Mus musculus: one gene and its partner. The protein of the gene in region 1 interacts with the protein of each later gene in a pairwise test. Links are inferred from orthologs where the notes say so. Each region holds a gene or a part of one and is shown in the gene's direction. Other genes may lie near its edges.

Region 1 (4,143 bases):
GACTAAACTCAAGGGAAGAGTTGCATGGTTAGTTTTACTTGTCTAAGTTTGCTGAAGTCATAATAGCTTTTGCTTGATGGTAAGCAGTCATGCATTGGAGTAACCAGAGTGCAAACTAAATCTGTTATTTCTTAATTCTTATTGGTACTGCTTTGATGAGAGGCACACAATGCCATGCAGACTTTGGTTGATGATTTATTAGAAAGGTCCGTCCCAAGAACAACTTCCGAAAGATTATGGACTAATTTTCCACATACTCCCGTAGGCGAGTCAGGAAGCACAATTCCTACCTGCCTACTCTAATTAGTCTGGCTTCTCCTTTCCCTTCCGGACAGTCTACTGTTGGTTTAGACAGGGGTGGAGTTGGAGAAGTGGAAGAGATGAGAGGCAGGACACAAAGAAAGCTCTTGATAAATGCTCTCAAATGCACGCAACACTGGAATTAAAAGTCGTGAGAGCCTCACTGTCTTACTAGTTCGGCTTGGATGAGGTCGTTTCATTAGATTTTATGTCCTCAGTGCCTCAATCGGGATATGTATTCAATGTTTATGAACATATGAAAATAACATGGGAACGAGCACAATACTAGTTTATAAGATGATTACAGCATCCCAAGTGGTTGCTTTAGAAATATACGATCTGTGATGCAGTAAGATGAGTGCTATGTACCAAGTGATAACACTTTCACTTTACCTTAATTGCCAAGTGAAGTAAACTTTGGAAACCTTGTTACCCAAGCAAGGTAACACCACTGAGGTGGGGCAGCTAGTATGTAATAATACATTGGCCTAGAACCCCAGCTTGTCAATCATAGAAGGAGGAACCATTGATTCAACAAAACTTGCTCAGTAGCTTCCATAGGCAGCTTCTGGCTGGAATGCACCGTCAGGTTTAGCAACATTAGCCAGTGTCCCCACCCTCCCGCCCTAAGAGCTGGAAATCGGAAGAGAAAACGTGGCTATTGCGCATGCACACACGGCCCTCCCCGCTCCCACCCGAGCCCCTTGACACCCCAGTAGCAACTTTGCTAGACGTCTGTGGACCGGTTCCAGGCCCACTGTGAAGCCAAACTGGCGGAAGCCGGTCCCCTCTGCGACGTGGAATCTTTCCCTTCCCTTCCTCCGGTCTTCCCCACTTGCAAGGGGCCACCTCAACCCTTTGCTTCTCAGGGTTTTGCCGGTCGTCAAAATGGTCGCAGACAGGCTTGTGGAGGCGAAGGCTTTTCATTGGCTAAGCTCTCGTACGGCCCCGCCCACTTTCTCCCTCTGGGCTGCGCCTGCTCTGGGCTCCGCTACGCACGCGCGGCGGGGGCGGGCCGGCTTGCGGGCGGGGCGGGTCTTCCGTGTCGCTGTCGCTGCTTCAGCCCCGCTTCCTTTGCTGCTCTGGAGCTGCGCTGCCGGCGTTGGCGGCGCGAGGGAAGGGAGGGGACCGGCGGGTGTGTGTCTGTGTGTGTGTGCGTGTGTGTCTGTGTGTGCGCGCGCGCGGGGGGCGCCGCGGTGCTAGCAGTTCCCCTCGCGCGGGGCGGGCGGCCAGAGTGAGCAGCAGTCGGCGAGGCCCTGGACGGCGCCATGTCGGCGGGTGGCCCATGCCCGGCGGGAGCCGGCGGCGGCCCAGGGGGCTCCTCCTGCCCTGTGGGGGTCTCCCCTGGCGGGGTGTCCATGTTCCGATGGCTTGAGGTGCTGGAGAAGGAGTTCGACAAGGCCTTCGTGGATGTGGATCTGCTTTTGGGCGAGATCGATCCGGACCAGGCGGACATCACTTATGAGGGGCGTCAGAAGATGACCAGCCTTAGCTCCTGCTTTGCGCAGCTATGCCACAAAGCCCAGACTGTGTCCCAGATCAACCACAAGCTTGAGGTGAGCCTCGGGGGCTGGCAGCAATAGCATTCAACCCCAGGCTGTCCGAGGTCGTTAGATCCCATTTAAAGCACTAGGAAAATGATCCTTAAAAACCTACCCACTGGACACCTCAGCTTCGAATGCGATGGAGAGTGCGTTTTATACGTGAGTGAAGCAAAGGAGTGCGGAGCGGGTGGGGGAGGAAAAGGATGCAGACTGATGTGTGGGTCTCCAGACGTCCTGTCATCCACCTCCCAGCATCTCATGCGGTGGGGACAGGAGCTAATCACACTACCTGCCTTGTAGGTGTTATTACCAAGATCTTCTGTCGGGGAATACCTCAACTCTCCTCTTCTGCTTTGATAATGACAAGCTAGATGATGTATTTTCAGACAGATGCAGCTCTGATTATTTTCATCCAATAGCCCAGATCAACGTCCGTGTCTGTACACAGAGACATGCATGAACTTAGGGGAATCCGATCAAAGCTCTTGGGGAAATGTAATGGAATATATATGTTCCTATCTACCTTCTCAGTTTACATTCACACTTGGCAGATATTACGGGCAGCTATGTCTTTAGAGCTGTCAATATTCAAATAACTTCTAGTATTGAGTGAGATGGTATGTCTTTGTATTTTACAGTATTTTCCCTAATTTCAGACCTTTGAGACTATGTAAAGACAATCCTTTGCTTAGGTCTCTAATCAGAGCAAGGGGAGTGTGATTGCAAACAGGAATTCCAAACCTCCCATTTTGTGTGGAAAATTCAACTAGGCCAGTATTACAAGATTTAGAAATTATGGTGTACTAACATTATATGGGAAACCTTTTAAAAATAGACAATTTCAGTAGAGAGTAGCTCTTTGATTTTAAAAAGGATTAAAAAAAAAGAGAGATACTTTGTTATGTGTGAAGTTCTTTGTGCCTTAGCTTTCTTAAGAGCTCCTCTTTACTGTTAACTGTAATAATGATAGGGCCTGTTGTGTACAGATTCATGTGTATGCTAGATTGGTTTCCTGTCCTTGCTTAGTGCTCAACAGTCTTTCATATTAGTTAGCCATGAAAAACATTTGCCACTAATATTTGATTAGCATCTTACATATTCAGGATGCTATGGTTTCTTTTTGGAAAGAGTGGGATGAAAGTACTTATGTAAAAGCATTAAGTGTAGATAAGGCTGTCTCTTGATTTTTTTTTTTTTTCTCCAATGAATGGTAATTCCTAAAGCTGAGTTTTCAGGTAGTATTTAGTGGCTTTTAAAATGGTATTTTAGCTTTAAAGATCAAAGATTAAGAGTAGCTTTTGCCAAATAACTTACATACCATCTCCATATTTAACCATATACTGGAGATAAGTGGCTTTTAAAACATAAAACAATTTTAACTTGTTTTTTAAATGACCTAAGGAAGCTAAACAATAGTACTTTCTGATGTTAGCAATAAGGTCTGATTTTGAGAAAAATATTTTTTTCCCTATGACTAGAAGGTATTCAAGTTTTTTAAATTTTTAAATAATTTGAAAGAATATTTCTCTACTAGACTGTGCATGTAATAACTTGCGTGTTTTTTTTTCCAGGAAATTATACTTACATATTCTAAGTCCATGTCCCATCTTAGGAAGTAGCATTACTTCTTAAAGTAAAGAATGCTAGCATATCACAGTGTGTGGTTTTCAGTATAATTGCAACTCTTGATTCAGAGACCTTAGAAATGATGAGGAGGATAATTTGGTTTTTCTGCTTAGTATATTCAACTATACATGATTCACCTGTGACAATTTTTATACATAAGACATCTTACATAGTTTTCGTATTATAACTGTGTACTGCTGTGAAAAGACTTATGGCCAGTCACAACTTTCCAAGTACACCTAGTGTGCCATATTCAGACTCTTGGGATGTTCTGTGAACTGTTGACAATCTACTGAGATCCTCAGTGTTAATCTTATAAGAGATTTTGGTGCTTTCTTACTCAGTCTTAATTTTGTCTCAATAAGTAAACTAGGCCTTCTGACTAGTCTTTAAGGATGCTGAAGTCATAGGTGACGCTGCTTGCTATCCGTGTAATAAACGTATACCAAGTTTAGTTGTTTCAGAGATTAGTACTTATAATAGAATGTTTTTATAGTCTCAAGACATGGATAACTCCAGGGTGGGTAATTTGTATCCGTAATCTCAGTCTTTAGATGGTGGAGACAGGAGGATCAGAAGTTTCAGGCCAGTCTGGGCCACATGAAACCCTGTCTTAAGAAAACAGATATAGATAAATGAATAAAACAAACAATACTTACACAAAAGGAACGTT
Region 2 (4,111 bases), on another chromosome or scaffold:
GGGTTGGGGAGTAGGGCATGGGGAGGGTACAGGGGACTTTTGGGACAGCATTTGAAATGTAAATGAAGAAAATATCTAATAAAAAAAAATGAAATGTAGCCGGGTGGTTGTAGTGCATGCCTTCAATCCCAGCACTTGGGAGGCAGAGACAGGCGGATTTCTGAGTTTGAGGCCAGCCTGGTCTACAAAGTGAGTTCCAGGACAGCCAGGGCTACACAGAGAAACCTTGTCTCAAAAAAAACAACAACAACAAAAAAAAAGTAAAAAAAGAACTTCTATGTGTGTGCTTCATTTGCATTTTTCACTCTTTACCTGGTCACGCTATAGTGATAATAATAATAATATAGTTCTAACTCACCCCTACTGTGTTTCTTCGTGCCGTTTACTGTGTAGTAACACTTGTAGATATTATCTCCTTTACTCTGCAGCCTGAGTAGGTAAGTGTGTGTGTGAACTCACACATGGGCATGCGTGTAGCACCCAGAGGAGACTGTCAGATGTTTTTGCTGTATTTCTTTGAGGCAGAGTCTTTCGTCAAACTGGAAGCTTGCTGCTTGGGCTAGGCTGGCTGGCAGGCTCCCAGGACCTGCCAGTCTCCACCCTTCACCCCCTCCAGCGCTGAAGCTACAGGCATGCATGCCCAGGTTTTTCCATGAATGTTTGGGATTTGAATGCAGGTTCTTGTGCTCGCATAGCAAGTACTCTGACCACTGAACTGTCTCCCTAGTTGCACCCCACAAGGAAGGTGGATTTCTCCGCGCAGCTGCAGGTGAGGAACTCAAGGCTTGGAGAAGTGAAGTCCTGCCCTCACTACCTGTATTGATTCAGAAGCCACTGACTCTGGATACCTATCGGGTCGGTGTCTGGCTTGTTGAAGAATTCAGGCACTTGCTGCTCATGCTTACCAGGCCTCAGTCTGTCTCTGTCCCTGTCCCTGTCCCTGTCCCTGTCCCTGTCCCTGTCCCTGTCCCTGTCTCTGTCTCTGTCTCTGTCTCTGTCTCTGTCTCTGTCTCCCTCTGCTGGGTTATCTGCTTTGGTGTGCCTTCATTGCAAGGGCTCAGAGTAGCCATGTATCTGGTTTCAGGGATCTCCTACCTACCTACCAAAGCCAGGATAAGTGTGAGTCCAGACAGGTCAGCCCAGGGTAAAAAGGCTAGGGCCCCTCCCTTTCTAGAACAGAAGCTTGCAAGGATGAGTGGACTTCCTCCTGCCAGCTCAGAGAAAGCAGGGGTGACTCACAAAAGCAAATGTCCAGGTCTTTTGTATATGCAGAGTTCCAAAGTCATCCGAGGAAGGAAGAAGAAAGCCAGCCAGAGAGTGGACCAAGAGCTGGGGAGACCCATGCAAAAGAGGCTGGCTCCCAGCAACCTGGAAGCCAGCGAGGAAGCCAGCGCAACCTGCCTCAAGGCTGGGCTGAGAGAGGAAGAAGCTGGCTGAAGCTGGTAAGGAGTGGGAGAGGGAGGAGCAGGTGTGCTTTTTGGTGTGAACTCTGACCTAGGAGGCAGGCTTCTGGGTCAATTTTCAAGCTCGGCCTCTCCGGCTCTGAAGCTGGTGCCCAAGTCACTGTACATTCTGAGCCTGGGTTTTCCCACCTAGCTTGTAGGTCTTTATAGACTCATTTGAACGTGTGTACTGACCACCCTGTGTGGTACACTGAGTGAGGCTGGCTTCTTCCTCACAGAAATAGTAAGAAGGGGTCATGGGCTTCCTCAACAGAGGGAAGCAGGGTTCGGAGAAGTGAAGCCATTGAGTCATATCAGCACAAATTGGTGAGACTTTTCACTCCCTGGTCTATTCTTGTTTCTGGGTTTAGCCAATCAAATGGCCTCATGAAAATGGAAACAGTTTGTAAAAGGCAAAGATGTTCTCTAAAGGTTACCATACACAGCTTCTAGCAAGAGCCAGCCCTTTTGGTCTGGATGCCAGTTCTCCAGCTTGCTGTCAGGATGCTGAAAACATAGGGGTGGGCAGATGCTATAGACAAGTTTCTGTTAATGATGACTGCAGGGAGGTATTTAGAATTTACTGTTGCTGAGCTGTTCTGCAGGAAGCTGGGGCCTGTAAATCACTGGCGTCTTGGTCTCCTAGAGACACTGACCTCTGTGCAGTGGGTGCCTGAGAGAAGCTCCTCAGAGAAGGACCCAAGCAACCGCTACCATCTTTTTTTCTTTTTTTCTTTATTTTATTTTTATATATATATATTTTTAAGATTTATTTATTGATTATACGTAAGTACACTGTAGCTGTCTTCAGACACTCCAGAAGAGGGAGTCAGATCTCGTTACAGATGGTTGTGAGCCACCATGTGGTTGCTGGGATTTGAACTCTGGACCTTCGGAAGAGCAGTCGGGTGCTCTTACCCACTGAGCCATCTCACCAGCCCCCATCTTTTTTAATTGAACATCCATTTAGAGCTATGGTCATGAAACCTCAGAGAATGTAGGTCTGATCTAGGGTGGTGAAGGGAGATCTTTAAGGATAGCGAGACAAGTTGACTGGAATAAGGTTAACTTTAAAAAAAAAAAAAAAAGGGAAATTTTCCCCATTACTATCCCAACCACTTTCTTTGCTGGGAATTGAACTCAGGACCTCTGGAAGAGTAGTCGGTGCTCTTAACCACTGAGCCATCTCTCCAGCCCCCAAGGTTAACATTTAAAATATATATATACATACACACACACACACATATATATGTACACATACATATATGTACACACACATATGTACACACACATATATGTATTTATATATATGTACACTGTAGATGTTTACAGACACATCAGAAGAGAGCATCAGATCCCTTTCATGTGGTTGCTGGGATTTGAACTCAGGACCTCTGGAGGAGCAGTCAGTGCTTTTTTTTTTTTCTTTTTTTTTCTTCCGAGACAGGGTTTCTCTGTGTAGCCCTGGCTGTCCTGGAACTCACTCTGTAGACCAGGCTAGCCTCGAACTCAGAAATCTGCCTGCCTCTGCCTCCCAAGTGCTGGGATTAAAGGCTTGTGCCACCACTGCCCAGCTGCAGTCAGTGCTCTTAACCTCTGAGCCATGTCTCTGGCCCCAACATTTTCTTTTTAAAAAAAATAACTTATTTTATTTGTGCATTGATGTTTTGCCTGCATGTATATCTGTGTGAGTATGTTGAACCCTGTGGAGCTAGAGTTACAGACAGATGTGAGCTGCCATGTGGACACTGGGAATTGTATCCAGGTCCTCTGGAAGGGCAGCCAGTACTCTTAACTGCTGAGCCATCTCTCCAACCCCAAAGTTAACATTTTCTTTTAAAGATTTATTTAGTTATTTTATGGATATGGGTGCACTGTAGCTGTACAGATGGTTGTGAGCCATCATGTGGTTGCTGGGAGTTGAATTCAGGACCTCTGCTTGCTCTGGCCCTGCTCACTCTGGTCAACCCCAAAGTTAACATTTTCAAGTAATAAAATTAAAGACAAAAGCTGTAGCAATAATCTAAATGGATGGTTTTGCCCACATTGATAACCACTGTTGACATTTAGTTCTTTCTAGGAGAGCTAGCACACACTATTAAGCCTAGAACTTGGGAAGCAGAGGAGAGCTGATCACTGAGTTTGAGGCCAGCCTGGTCTACATAGTCAGGGCTTGAGACCCTACCTCAAGCAAGCAAGCAAGCAAGCAAGCAAGCAAACAAACAAACAACAAAAAACATTTGGTTTTTTATCATCCGGGAGATATTTTTCCACAGTGCAGTGTGTTTTTTAAAGTAGATGATGTTGTGATTGTTTTGTCACTGAATCTTTAATACCTAATAACATTATATCCTAGACACACTCCATAATAAGAAATGTTCTATCACATCATTTTAAAGACTACAGAATATCTTTCTTACATCCATCTTCTGTAACAATACAAACCACCTTCCAGAGAACTGTATGTGCATGTCTGTCTCTGAAGGTGTTTTTCATGCCACTCTCATTATTTCTTCTCTCTCTCTCTCTCTCTCTCTCTCTCTCTCTCTCTCTCTCTCTCTCTCTCTCTCTCTCTCTGTCTCTCTCTTTCTCTCTCTTCCTTCCTTTTTCTTCCTTTCTCTTTAAATTAAAATTTTATAGCTAGTTTATGAAATGACATGCTTTATCAT

The links. The genes of interacting proteins can lie anywhere in the genome.
Region 2: the proteins of Gopc (region 1) and Rnf183 interact in binary tests that used the Homo sapiens proteins (3 or more experiments, as listed by UniProt). The two-hybrid records come from large-scale screens. The link is inferred for Mus musculus from reciprocal best matches to the Homo sapiens genes GOPC and RNF183.

The regions. Positions count from the first base shown.
Region 1 is NC_000076.6:52,379,324-52,383,466, reverse strand, and holds the start of Gopc (Golgi-associated PDZ and coiled-coil motif-containing protein), read left to right. Parts: upstream 1-1,342; 5' UTR 1,343-1,568; coding exon 1,569-1,856; intron 1,857-4,143.
Region 2 is NC_000070.6:62,431,796-62,435,906, reverse strand, and holds the start of Rnf183 (E3 ubiquitin-protein ligase RNF183), read left to right. Parts: upstream 1-1,266; 5' UTR 1,267-1,442; intron 1,443-4,111. UniProt on the Homo sapiens protein: Acts as an E3 ubiquitin ligase catalyzing the covalent attachment of ubiquitin moieties onto substrate proteins. Triggers apoptosis in response to prolonged ER stress by mediating the polyubiquitination and subsequent proteasomal degradation of BCL2L1.